Arabidopsis thaliana: one gene and its partners. The main gene of each other region encodes a partner of the protein of the gene in region 3 in a complex. Each region holds a gene or a part of one and is shown on either strand. Other genes may lie near its edges. A codon is read from its position in the direction of its gene.

The links.
Region 1: the proteins of SERK1 (region 3) and IDL3 are in contact, whole or in part, in a crystal structure (PDB 7OGZ), measured with the Arabidopsis thaliana proteins. Residues at the interface, in NP_177328.1 of Arabidopsis thaliana: Asp51 (codon at 3,465), Thr53 (codon at 3,459), Leu54 (codon at 3,456), Val55 (codon at 3,453); in NP_001318520.1 of Arabidopsis thaliana: Arg87 (codon at 781), Lys88 (codon at 778), His89 (codon at 775), Asn90 (codon at 772).
Region 2: the proteins of SERK1 (region 3) and CLE9 are in contact, whole or in part, in a crystal structure (PDB 7OGU), measured with the Arabidopsis thaliana proteins. Residues at the interface, in NP_177328.1 of Arabidopsis thaliana: Asp51 (codon at 3,465), Thr53 (codon at 3,459), Leu54 (codon at 3,456), Val55 (codon at 3,453), Thr59 (codon at 3,441); in NP_564251.1 of Arabidopsis thaliana: Pro117, Leu118, His119, Asn120.

What each region holds. Positions count from the first base shown.
Region 1 is NC_003076.8:3,045,502-3,048,256, reverse strand, and holds IDL3 (inflorescence deficient in abscission (IDA)-like 3), read right to left. Parts: upstream 1,247-2,755; 5' UTR 1,040-1,246; coding exon 740-1,039; 3' UTR 504-739; downstream 1-503. UniProt on the Arabidopsis thaliana protein: May be involved in floral abscission.
Region 2 is NC_003070.9:9,189,742-9,193,091, reverse strand, and holds CLE9 (CLAVATA3/ESR-RELATED 9), read right to left. Parts: upstream 1,590-3,350; 5' UTR 1,544-1,589; coding exon 1,046-1,543; 3' UTR 502-1,045; downstream 1-501. Other genes in the region: AT1G26590 (C2H2-like zinc finger protein), read right to left, coding at 2,383-3,350.
Region 3 is NC_003070.9:27,016,608-27,022,617, reverse strand, and holds SERK1 (somatic embryogenesis receptor-like kinase 1), read right to left. Parts: upstream 4,461-6,010; 5' UTR 4,044-4,460; coding exon 3,956-4,043; intron 3,528-3,955; coding exon 3,395-3,527; intron 3,310-3,394; coding exon 3,238-3,309; intron 3,121-3,237; coding exon 2,977-3,120; intron 2,874-2,976; coding exon 2,802-2,873; intron 2,707-2,801; coding exon 2,635-2,706; intron 2,552-2,634; coding exon 2,439-2,551; intron 2,309-2,438; coding exon 2,177-2,308; intron 2,019-2,176; coding exon 1,677-2,018; intron 1,572-1,676; coding exon 1,177-1,571; intron 1,091-1,176; coding exon 776-1,090; 3' UTR 501-775; downstream 1-500. Other genes in the region: AT1G71840 (transducin family protein / WD-40 repeat family protein), read right to left, coding at 77-194; SEC6, read right to left, coding at 5,873-6,004. UniProt on the Arabidopsis thaliana protein: Dual specificity kinase acting on both serine/threonine- and tyrosine-containing substrates. Phosphorylates BRI1 on 'Ser-887' and CDC48 on at least one threonine residue and on 'Ser-41'. Confers embryogenic competence.

The DNA of each region.
Region 1 (2,755 bases), on a different chromosome or scaffold from region 3:
GGTATTTAAACACCAACTCAAATACTAGTATATGTAGAATAACCTTCTATTTGTTATTACCATAACTTATAAGAAGAGAGTGGATATAAAATATTGAAATCACTACTCGGCTTATATCCATCAATATTCTACCAAACAGATGTAGCCTAAATTGATCGGGACTTGTATATATCTCAACAATTATCATTATGTCCGTAATAATCCACGATTAGGATACAGTGAACATATGATATATAATTTCATATATATCAAATTAGAAGACGGAAAATAAAAAGAACAATAATTGTTTAATTAGAAACCGACCCTTCTATCCTCGGCTCTTGTACACTTAGAGTAGACAACTTTTTATATATGTTTTTAGTATAAATAAATAATAAAATTAAAGACATTTCACTTTTGTTGTGTATAAAGTGTCTTTAGGAAGACACAAATCTCAAATTAAAGACATTCATTATTTTATTATTATTATTTTTTATAGTTTTATATTTAAAGACATGTATAAATAACCACCAATGTGGATGCTCTTACGTACTTGCAATATTTCAATGGATCAAACAAGTTCCAATATTAAACTAAAAAATTTGATCGTATCCACAGCATTGCCCATAAATAAATCAAACTGAAATCTATTTACATCAGTTTGAACCAAATTCAAAAGGGGCAAAAACTAAAACAAAAAAAACTTACAGAAGTAAAAAGGATGATTCATTAATCAAACCTTTGAACTACAAGGTGAAGATTAAGTCTTAGTACTACTTAAACCGATTTCGTTATGTTTTCTGGAAGGACCAGAAGTTGGAACCGGAAACTGACGTGGCAGGGACCCCAAGAACTGTACACTTTTGTGATCTTGTACTTGATGATGGACATGATCATGAGGTGGCGAAACGACGTCCTTTTGTTTGGGTGGCGAGCTTGTGTTGAAGACGTTCGTGGTTCTTGCTCCATTGCAGCAACTCAAAAGGACAAGAAGAAGAACAAGAATAGGAATTGTTCTCGTGAGTTGATATTTTCTTGATCGGTGGCTTCGAGAAGACATTGGTGTAAATTGGGAGAGTGAATAGAGAGAGATGGAGGGAGGGAAGTGATTTTTGTTTGAAGGAGTTTTGGGTGGAAGTATTTAATATTTAAAAGGTTTTATTTTTTTGTTGATGGGTGATTGAATGAAAAAGAGAAGGCTGTGAATTGTTGACAGCTAGAAATATGGGCACATCAAGAGAGAGAGATTTTGATTGGAAAGATGTTGACTTATGGTTCTATTTGTATGTTTCTTTTTATTTACTCATATGGTTCTATTCTTATCTCTCTTATTAAGGAAAACCATGCACTAAACCTAAATCTAGTTAATCATGGATATTTACGTAGTAATTACATTATTCAAAACATACTAAATCAAATTGGAGACACAAGATGTTTTACCCCTATACTACCTTCACTTGAGTTTAAATTAACTATTTCTGAACATGATCTCATATTGGAATGCGTAAAAAACGTTGTTGGGCAAAAACAATAACGTCTCTTCATAGCTCTTGATATGACCCACAAGACAAAAAAAGTTGGAGGAAGACTCCTTTATAGCTGTCTTTAATTAGGTTCACGTATAAGTACTATTGCATATTTATGATATTTCTAATTTTGCGTTTGAAATAACATGTATTATGTGGGTTTGACCATGTCTGATCATATAATAACGGTTTTAGCATTGACCATTAGGATTACAGGTTATTAACATTGTCAAGATTTTTAGTTTACTTTCAATTTAAAATACATTTCACATTTGTTTCTATAATATATTATCAATTAATCCTCTCTGTGGAGTGAAAGTGAGAGGGGACAAAGAGAAGAAAACGAAAGAAAAATAATTAGTGGTGGGTCAAGGTCAAGCCTTTTCATTTCATGTTATGTGAAAAAAATATAATTCATATTACTTGACGACAAAATAAAATAATTTCATATCAGTTTGATAATACTATAGTGTATTCTATCCTTGCAATCTCTTACAATTGATTGAGCAAACCACGCGCATATGCATAAAAAAGTTTCTATATTTCCTAGATCTATCCTTTACGTAAAACAAGTTCGAGCTAAAACGTAACGTGACTTAACGACCAGGCAATACAACTACTGCACCGCAAGACCGGATCAACCAATTCTAAATTTTAGTCATCATCAAGACATCAACTTTTTATTTCTTGGACATCTTCCTTAACGTAATCATCAACTTAAAGACCGTAGCTTTAGTGGACACTTTTGAGTTGCATCCTCTTTTGCGGCATATATATTGAAGGCAGAGAATAATGACGATGAGACCCCTTTGTACGAACAAGATGTCAGAACTTAGAAGAACGAAGGAAACCGAACATAAAAGGCAACAACAGTAGTTGTGTCAGAACAACAACAGTAAATGAGATGTAAAAGCTTGTCCAGGCTAGTTCCTTAGCGTTACTGTAACAACACTGTTGAAAATATACGAGTATAAAATAGTACTATTACAAATTACAACCAAAGCGATTTTCGTGCTAATTACCGACCATCTGTTCATACACGTTTTTTTTTTTTTTTTTACCGACCATCTGTTCATACACGTTTTCTCCAATGCATCATTCTCATTGATTTTTTTTTTTTATTGTCACAGTATTTTTTTGTAATCCGAAAGGTTAAATGCTTCTCTCTAAAGTTTAGTGACTTTTGCAATACAATTACCCTCCGCCAAAAACTTAAGCGCAATTCTTCACTAAAAGAAACGTTATTTCAT
Region 2 (3,350 bases), about 18 Mb from region 3:
AAGTGATATGTACTAGATAAAATACTCGAAATTCACAAGTTACAAACAAAAATTATAACTTTTTCTGATTCATCTTATACCAAAAATGCATTCAAGTTATTTCTATTTTACTCTATAAAGATTATTTTTTTCCCCTCCAATTTTGCTTCTTGTTTCCTTTTCTGTTTTGCCAGGCTTGCACTATATTCATCATCTCATCTTAAAACACTTTTATCCCATAAATTTGGCGATAAACATTAAGATATATACATTTTCTTTCATAACTTTCCTTTTCATAAAGAGTAATAAATAATATTTTCTACAACTTATAATCCGTTGATTAAATCGGATGATAACACGTACATGGTGGACGGTGCCACATTTGTAAAAATGAGTAGACATAAAAAATTTGGCTGGCAAAATGATAAAGGAAAATCTGGTTGGCAAAATTATAAATAAAAGTTTCTATATTTGCAAAGTTTTTACTATTGTCTATTGACAGAGACAAGCGAAATAAATATCTTTACAGCGAAATATCACACGAAAGAGAAGAACATAACATATATATGCCCCATCAACCTTTTTAAATTTTTATTGATAGACCAATGGAAACTTTAGAGTTACATAAATACAGCTCCCAAATTAATGGAGCTCATGCGTTTCTTCACCTCTCCTCTCCCAACCATACTAAATCTTTTTTTCTCCTTTCGCTTTCAAAACTATAATTTATCATTTTCTCATTAGAAAAACAAAAGAAAGTCCCTTGCAAAAATACACTATTTCCAAGATTGTTTTCACACTACAAAGCCCAAAAACAAGCGTGGAAATAGCTTAGTTACAATATTACCATAACGCAAGACTCCATTACAAGATCAAGAAAGTAGAAATAAGAAATTTCCGCAAAGAAGACCAAGAAGAACTAACGAACCATCTTCTTGGGCCAAAATAACTCTAGCTATAAAGTACACAAATCTCTCTCGAACAAATCCGAGAAACGAGTTAAATTAGAAAATATGTGACAAATGTTTCTGTATATATGTATGTATAGAAACTTGAGGATATGGTTTTAGTTGTGAAGCGGGTTTGGACCAGAGGGGACGAGTCTTTTGTCGACGCCGTACCTTGGATCAATCTCCGGAGGAGGAGGAGAAAGAAGTGGCTGCTTCCGACTGCTACGGTGGATTCTCTGAAGCTCAATGCACATAGAACGCGCGTAAGGACGAATGAAGGAATCACACGAACGGTGAGGAGTCACGTGGTAAGGGTGGTGGTTAAACCTCGGAACGAATCGGTGCGTTCGGTAACGGAAGTTTCTTGATGTTCTGTTTCCTTCGTCGACGACGGTTGAAGAAGCGGTGGAGGATTTGAGAAGTAAAGAGACGAAGAGAAGAGAGATCAAGATCAGACGATTCAGGTGAGTCATCGTCATTGTTTTGGTTTCCAAGAGAGAGCGAGAGAGAGAAAGTGAGAAGTGGTCTTGGAGAAGAAGAAGTTTAAAATCGAGAGAGGGAAGATATTTGGTGGAAGCAAATTGGGATATAAATGCAACACAGAAGAAGCACATGAATCGATGTTATGACGGTTAGTTTTAGTAAATGAGAGGGCAAAACTGGTTATACAAAAAAAAGTGGGTCCTTCGCTTAGTTCGTTTTCATTGACATAAATACCAACCCGTGAACTTTATTATATACATTTCGATCCTAGATTTATTTCACTTTCTTTAGCTTTTTCATACAATACGTTATACGTACAAAATAATGGGTTTATGTAGTAATTACGTACACAAGATAAACAAGAACGTGTATTTGAGTGGTTTCGTGACTCTCAAGTTAACTCCTGGGTCTTTATCGGCTTCTATAGTTTAAAGGCCTTAACAGGCCCAATAGGAGTCTATCTAAACCCAACTACCTATAAATTAGTAAAGTTACCAAATTTGGGATTTATTTATTTTGCTTTTCCTCCTTTCAATTGAATCAACAACTTTAACTTGAACACAACTCTCTCCCTTTTTATGTTAGAACCAAAACATCATCATAAAAGCAATAGACAATGGCTCTTGTAGTCTTGACTTTGATTGTGCTAATATGAATACAGAGGAAGTCTTATAGGTGAAAGCTCGAAAAAGGAAAAAAAAACTTTAAAAGTAACAGCTTTCTTTGAAGACAAGAAGAATGAATCTCAGTAATCAGTAAGAAACATGAAAGGTCCCTAAAAAGCTGAAGATAATATATACATCAATACTTGAGTTCATAAAGCAAAGAATTGGCTCTAAGTGATAAGCAAACTTTATATGAACAAATCAAAAAAAACTTTTGATCTAGTTCTAAAATGTGGAGCAAAGAAAACAAACAAAAAGTGGGGATGAAATACTATCAGAGAGAACTATAGTTCTCAGGTTCTGATTCATTCATCAGTATCCGAAACAGGAAGATAGAGATCGATTTGGTTACGCATTTCAGCTGCGTGGTTTGCAATGGAATGTGATCTCTTGTGACCACCTAAAGCTTGGCCTGATTTGAACATCCTGAAGCAAATTGGGCACTCATGACCTTTGCTCTTCACCTTCTCACCACCTTCTTTCTTAACCATTGAGGATTTGCTATCTTTGAACCTATGATGAATCTTGCTGTTTGTGTCTGCACATGAATCAGTTTCATAAGAAAACAAGGCTCTCTTGCTTTTGCTCAGCTCATACTTTGTTCCTCCCTCATTACTATTCCTGAACCTGATCAATGAGTTGTTGAATCCAGATCCAAATCCAGTGTTCCTGTCAACAGAAATGTCTGACTCCGACTTACTTGGACCATTCATGAAGTAATCAGAATCAGAGCCATCTGAATCACAGAGACTAACTCCATCATCATCAGCAGATCTCCATTGGTCATCTACTGCATTCTTCACATTCATGATCTTAAACTCATCCCCTGAAGATGACTTATTCTCAACAATCGCAGAGTTGTTGTCAGATGACTCACCAAGAGAATTCATCACCATGTTACGTCTTTTCTTGAAACTACTAGAATCACTCGACAACATCATCAAATTATAAGCCCCATCCCTACGTTCTTGGTCAATCTCAGAACCAAAAGACGAGCTCCCATTACTCAAAGATTCAGAATTTGATTGTTTCATGACCACCCTCTTGGATCTTTTCCTCATAGGAGCTGAGGAAGTCTCACTTTCAGTATCAGATTGGCTATTATCATCCATCAACATCTTCTTTACCTCACCGTGACAAGCCATGTGACCTCTAAGAGCTTTCAAAGAAACGAACACTCTACCACATTCTCTGCAACCAACTTGTTGTTGTTGCTTATGTTTCTGAGCCATCATCTTTCTCTGATCCACCAACCTCTTCTTCTTATTGCCAT
Region 3 (6,010 bases):
AAATAGAAGAGTCACATACACATACACATATATACATACGATAAAAAAATCACGATTGAAGGAGATAAAAAAAAACCTTCTTCGTCGACATCGATTTCACGGAGGACATCGGATTCACCAAGGAAAATCTCTCCTTCATCCTCTTCTTCCATCGCTAGATTATTCATCTCTGTATTATTAGTATTATTACTCATCTTCTTCTTCTTCTTCTTCTCTCTCTCACCACAGTTTTTTCCAGCCGCGACTAAGAACAGGAAGAGGACGGCGGAGATGAATGGAGGTGTGACGTGTCACGATGATGGAACAAGAAGACACAAAGTACAAAAACCCTTCTTCTCTTTTTTTCCCAACAAAAACCCTTCCAAAAATTTTTCTATTAAACGACGTCGTTTGTATACACAAAAGTGAAACGGCGTCATGTGAGTAGCGCATTATAAATAAACGACGCTGTTTCGCTTTTGTGTATTCTAACGACGTTTAGTAGAACAAAATTGAAAGGGTTTTTGTAGCAAAACAGCGGAGTTAGTTTAACGTATTTTTGGATGTACATATATTGTGTTCATAGTTCATACTTCATACAATAGACAGTAATCTTACACAAATCTTTAGATTACAATTTTTTTCCCTTTTAATCGAACCATAGCACAAAATCACAAATCTTTGAATGCTAGATTTCATTTTACATTAACAATTAAAAAAAACGAAAACTTACGGGTAAAAAAACTACCTACCTTGTAAAATTTGTTATTGTTCAATAATTTTATGTTTTTTTTTTTTACCTTGGACCAGATAACTCAACGGCGTGCAAATTGTAAGTAGAATCAAGAATCCAATCAGAGTTAGGATTAGGACTCAAATCAATCTCTTCCCTCAAAATCTCAACTTTTTGCCATTCGTCCCATTTCTCCGCAAGCCCATCTCCTTCCAGCATCCTTACAACTTCAGACATCTTTGGTCTTTCCATTGGTGATCCTTGCGTGCATAGCAACGCCACTTGTATCACTTGTTCCAGTTCTCTCTCCTCGTAGTTTGTTTGAAGATCTGGATCCACTAACATCTCTAGCTTCTTCTCCTTCAACAATCCTTTCACCTAAACCAACAAACAAGTATTTGAGATTAGATTCTCGTTTCAATGGTTTTTGTTGGGGTCAAATGGAAGTTTTATGTTGTTATTACCCAGTCAAGTAACATGACGTCGTCGTCGTTAGCTAGCCGAGCGAGATCGAAAGCTCTTTGTCCTGTGATTAGTTCTAGAAGCATGATTCCGTATCCGAAAACGTCGGTTTTCTCTGAAGATTTTCCGGTTGAGAGATATTCTGGAGCGATGTGACCGATGGTGCCACGGACTGCTGTTGTCACGTGAGTGTCTTTATAGTCCATTAGCTTTGCCAACCCGAAATCTCCAACAACCGCTTCGAATTCTTCGTCTAAGAGGATGTTTGCTGCTTTTACGTCACGGTGAATGATCTTCGGATCGCAGTGATCATGTAGGTAAGACAAACCTCGAGCTGAGCCTAGCGCGATTCTCTTCCGCGTTGGCCAATCAAGCGGAGGTTGTGACGGTGGCCTCTCTGTGTCATTAGTGTAACCAACAATTATGAACCCATAAAGGAAAACATGAAAAAACACTTCACGTCAAAGTAATTGAGAGAGAGCACAAGATGTTTAGTTTTTACCTCTGAGACACGAAGCAACACTTCCATTGGCCATGTAAGGATACACAAGCAATCTCTCGGTCGGTGTCATACAGAAACCTCGTAATCTCAACAGGTTTCGATGAACTGCCATACTTATCATCTCTACTTCTGTTTGAAACTGGAGCTCTCCACCTGGAGTTCGCTCTTCCTTCAGTCTCTTGACAGCAACAAGAGTTCCGTCTGCCAAGCGTCCCTTGTAGACTTTCCCAAACCCACCTCTGCCCAAAATGTTCTTGTTACTAAACCCATCACTCGCCACTTGTAGCTCCCGCAAAGAAAACCTCTTGAGCTGTCCCAGATGAACTTCTGGATCTTCTTCGGCTGCAAAGAGATTTTGCAATCGAGATTTTACTCAAAAGAGTTTGTAACTTAAAAAACAATGACTTATGTATTGATTTTCATTAACAGTTGTTCCAATACTTTTCTGCAAAACAAAATTGCTGGCTAAGAACAGAAACTAATGCGAATAATAAACTCACCAGGGACATCGAAGAAAATATCTAGTGGCTTTCTTCGTCGCCACCAAGCAAAGGCTATTGCAGGAGCAGCAAAGAGCAAAGCAGCACCTGCAGCAACTCCACCAGCTATTGCTCCAGTTATACCATACCCACCTGAAATCAAATTAGATCATTTGGTTATTGCCTTATTGGCAAGATGAGTTATATGAGAAAAAGGATTGACAGAGAAGCAAAGATTTCATCTTCTGTTTCCTATAATGTAAACTAAAAAGAGGAGGCTTACTCGGGGTGGAAACTGGGGGAGGTTGAATAAAAGGTGGTGGAGGAGAAAACGGGGGAGATCCAGGACATGGGTGACTTGTAACAGGTCCACATAGGTCTAAGTTATTAGCAAAACTGCACAAGGAAATGAAAGTTTCAGAATAAGTTCAGACACTGACACAACAACTGAAATAACTGAAGAGGATAAATCATAGAACCTGATGGGTGTGAAGAGTGAGAAGGAGCCATTGTCAGGAACTGAACCAGAGAGTCTGTTATTTGATAGATCTCTGTGTTGCATCCATCAAGGTTAAGTGCATTAACTCAACAAATCAACTGAGGGAGAATGAAGTAGACATAAATGAAAGTTAATGAGAGGACTCACAACACTTGAAGGGTAGTAATATTGGTCAGTGACATAGGAATTGACCCAGTGAGACTGTTGTTGTTAAGCCGGCTATTCTTGCATGTAAAATTTTCAGCAAAGAGTCAAAAATTGGAACAAAACCTAAGATTAAACAAAGACTGTAACTGAGCCGGTAAAGCATATGTATACTCACAGAAATCTCAGCTTTGAAAGCTTTCCCAATGATTCCGGAATAGGACCGGAGAAGCTGTTTAAGTAAAGATCCAAACTCACTAAGTTTGTCAGATTTCCAAGATTACTAGGAATCGGGCCAGTTATGTTGTTACTGTAAAGCTCCCTGTAAGAAAATAAGAAACTTGTTAAAAAGATTTCAATTACAAAAGGTAACTCCAGTGCTTCTTCTGTCAAATCTTGGATTTGTTTTGTTAAAGCATGATGCATAAGTGGAACTTACAAATACTGCAAATTCTTGAGCACACCAAGCTCTGGAACTAAATGGCCAGATAACTCTGCATTCCCCAAATCACTGTATTTGACAAAAGAAACAAAAATGTCGGTAACCACGCTGAGGTCAAAGTTTAAAAAGTGGGATTAGTAGAAGAAAGCTTTACACTCTTATGACACTGTTCTCGTTGTTGCAAGTGACATGGAACCATGTGCAAGGATTCACTAGCGTAGGATCCCAGCTCTGCAAGACATTGTTTGGATCAACTAGAGTAACCCTCAAAGTATGCAAAGCATCACCTATAACAAGAACAACAAATCTACACAATTAGCATCAATTGGTGAAAAGTCTAATTTCAAGAGAGAACTATTCAAACAGGCCTCTCTGAGATTAGAGGCTAATAATTAAACAAATTCTTTACAAAACCAAAAACAAATGAAGTCTTTCAGAGAATGTTTGGATCAACAACATCAATCTTAAGATATCAAATAACCCAGCTTTTCAACCCAAAGAACATGCCTTTACAATATACAAAGTTGATCTGAACAAGAAAAGCAAAACAGTGTATTCAAAGTACTAGCCACTAAATCTTACAAATACAAAGAACAACAACAATTTTCATAAATCAAAATGCAGACACTAAAGATAGCGATTCACCTCCAAATAAAAAAGAATCGAGAAAGTAATTGAGAAACGAGTAAAGCTGAGTAATTGAGTAACCACGAACCTTCCAAATTAGCAGAAGCAAGCCACAGTGAATGATTCGGAAGTAAGATCAGTGAAAGTAAGATAAACACCACATAACTCGACTCCATTTCAAACAACAATGCTAAATTTCGAATCTTGATTTGATCTCTTCAGATCCGAGAAAACCCTAACTTCCGAAAATCACCACCATTAACACTTTACAGAGACAACCTCAACACAAACTCACTCATTTTTTCGATAACCCTTTTAAAAACCCATTAGCATTAAAACAAACAAAGAGTAAAAAATAAAATCAAAATCCTAATTCTCCGGCGTTCTCGTCGTCGTCTTTCCTCAATCAAACCACACTCTCTCTCTCACACACACACTGTAAAACAAAAGTTGAATAAAGATGAAACTTTTTTTTTTAAACAAAAAAATAAGAGCTTTTTGGGGAAAATCTACGTGAAGTAATAATAACAAAAGAGCTTTTTATTAAGCCGCAACAACAAGCCTGCCAGAGAAACTATGATTAGTGTGTTGTTGTTGTTCCTCTCTTTTTCTTCTTATGAATAAAATAGCTTTTTCGTTGATATATTATTTAATATTTTTAAAGATCTCAACGGGCTTTATTTATGGGCATGCAGTGGTGTAGAGGAGGAAGACGAGGAATATAAGCTGCCCGTAACGGTGCTGCTGCCCGAACTGACCGGTCAAAAAAACGGGTTCGGGGGAGAGAAGAGATGGTTGAAAGTGACATCGCTTTGGGTTTGGGGTAAAGTAGTTGAAAGCTCTTAAGGCTATGCACCCGTTTCTCCTGGTCAAACCTCTCTCTGTTGGGTCCCTTTTTTCTTTAAGTAGAAAAACCTTTTCTAAATTTTTAATGCAAGTAAGATTCGTAATCCCGTATTTATGAAAGTAAAGTTAAAATGTTAAAGAGGTTCACTATCATGTGAGCAATCTCATACCAAAAATGTGAATTTTTTTTTACAATGGTTGTGAATTTTGTGATTGATAAACCATGCAACAATAAAGATATTAGTGTTTGCTGATATTCTTTCTAAACCCAACTTTGGCAGAGATGAGATTGAAAGATTTGAGTTTTGTCAACAAAAAATTTGGTGGAAGAAACTGTAGAGACGGCAAAGACAAAATTTGGCCAAGTTCCACTGTGGAAGTAGTATGGCGTGCCCGATATGACTTTACTACTGTTTCATCACAATACCATTAAACAGATACTTGTCTTATCATTTAAAAAAAAAAAAAAAACTGCCCATACAATTTGAGTAGAGGTAAAAAGTAAAATAAAAAGCAGATTACATTTGTTACCCTTTAAATATCACACATTATGCTTACCCCATGTGGTGGATGGACTCTTTATTTTCATTATGATCAAAAGGTTTCTAGAACAAAATTTAATTAAAGTAAAAAAGAAACAGTCATTTCAGAAAATATTTCAAGATAATGCTTACAATTATTTATTTAGATATTGTGAGTGGCTAAATCAGCTGCCAATGAGTGAATTTACAAACTTTTTTATAATCCCCAACATTTTTTATATTCATGATAAAAATATGCTTCAAATTCAAAATTTCACAAATCAGAAATAATTCTAAAAACAATAAGAGCTACCTTGTTATGAAAGAGAAACGAACTTTAAGAAGATTTTATCAAAATTAAATGAAACAGTAGAATTAAAATTTGCGACAAAAAAATACGCCTCCTAAATACAACGGGATAATATCCTAGTGCAAGTGGCCACCGAGCGTTTCAACTTTCAAATCCAGGAATAAAGGTAAGAAAAAGAACAAAACAAGAGAAAACACAGAATTTACAGAGGAAAGATACCATGCAAAGAAAAAGAAGACATGGACGCAAACGCCATAATTTGGAGAAAGAACATCATCTCAACTAGAAAAGCAGTTACGGACGCAAACGCTGAACGCTGTTTTACAGATTAAGTGAGTTTTCGCCACATAGATCCTTTGGAAGCAGTTAAGCACTTGACTCTCGGGAATACAAATCCTGTCTTTGGAGGATTACCATCTACCAGTGTGTTCTCATATATCTCTTTGCACTCTTGTACCACCTGTTT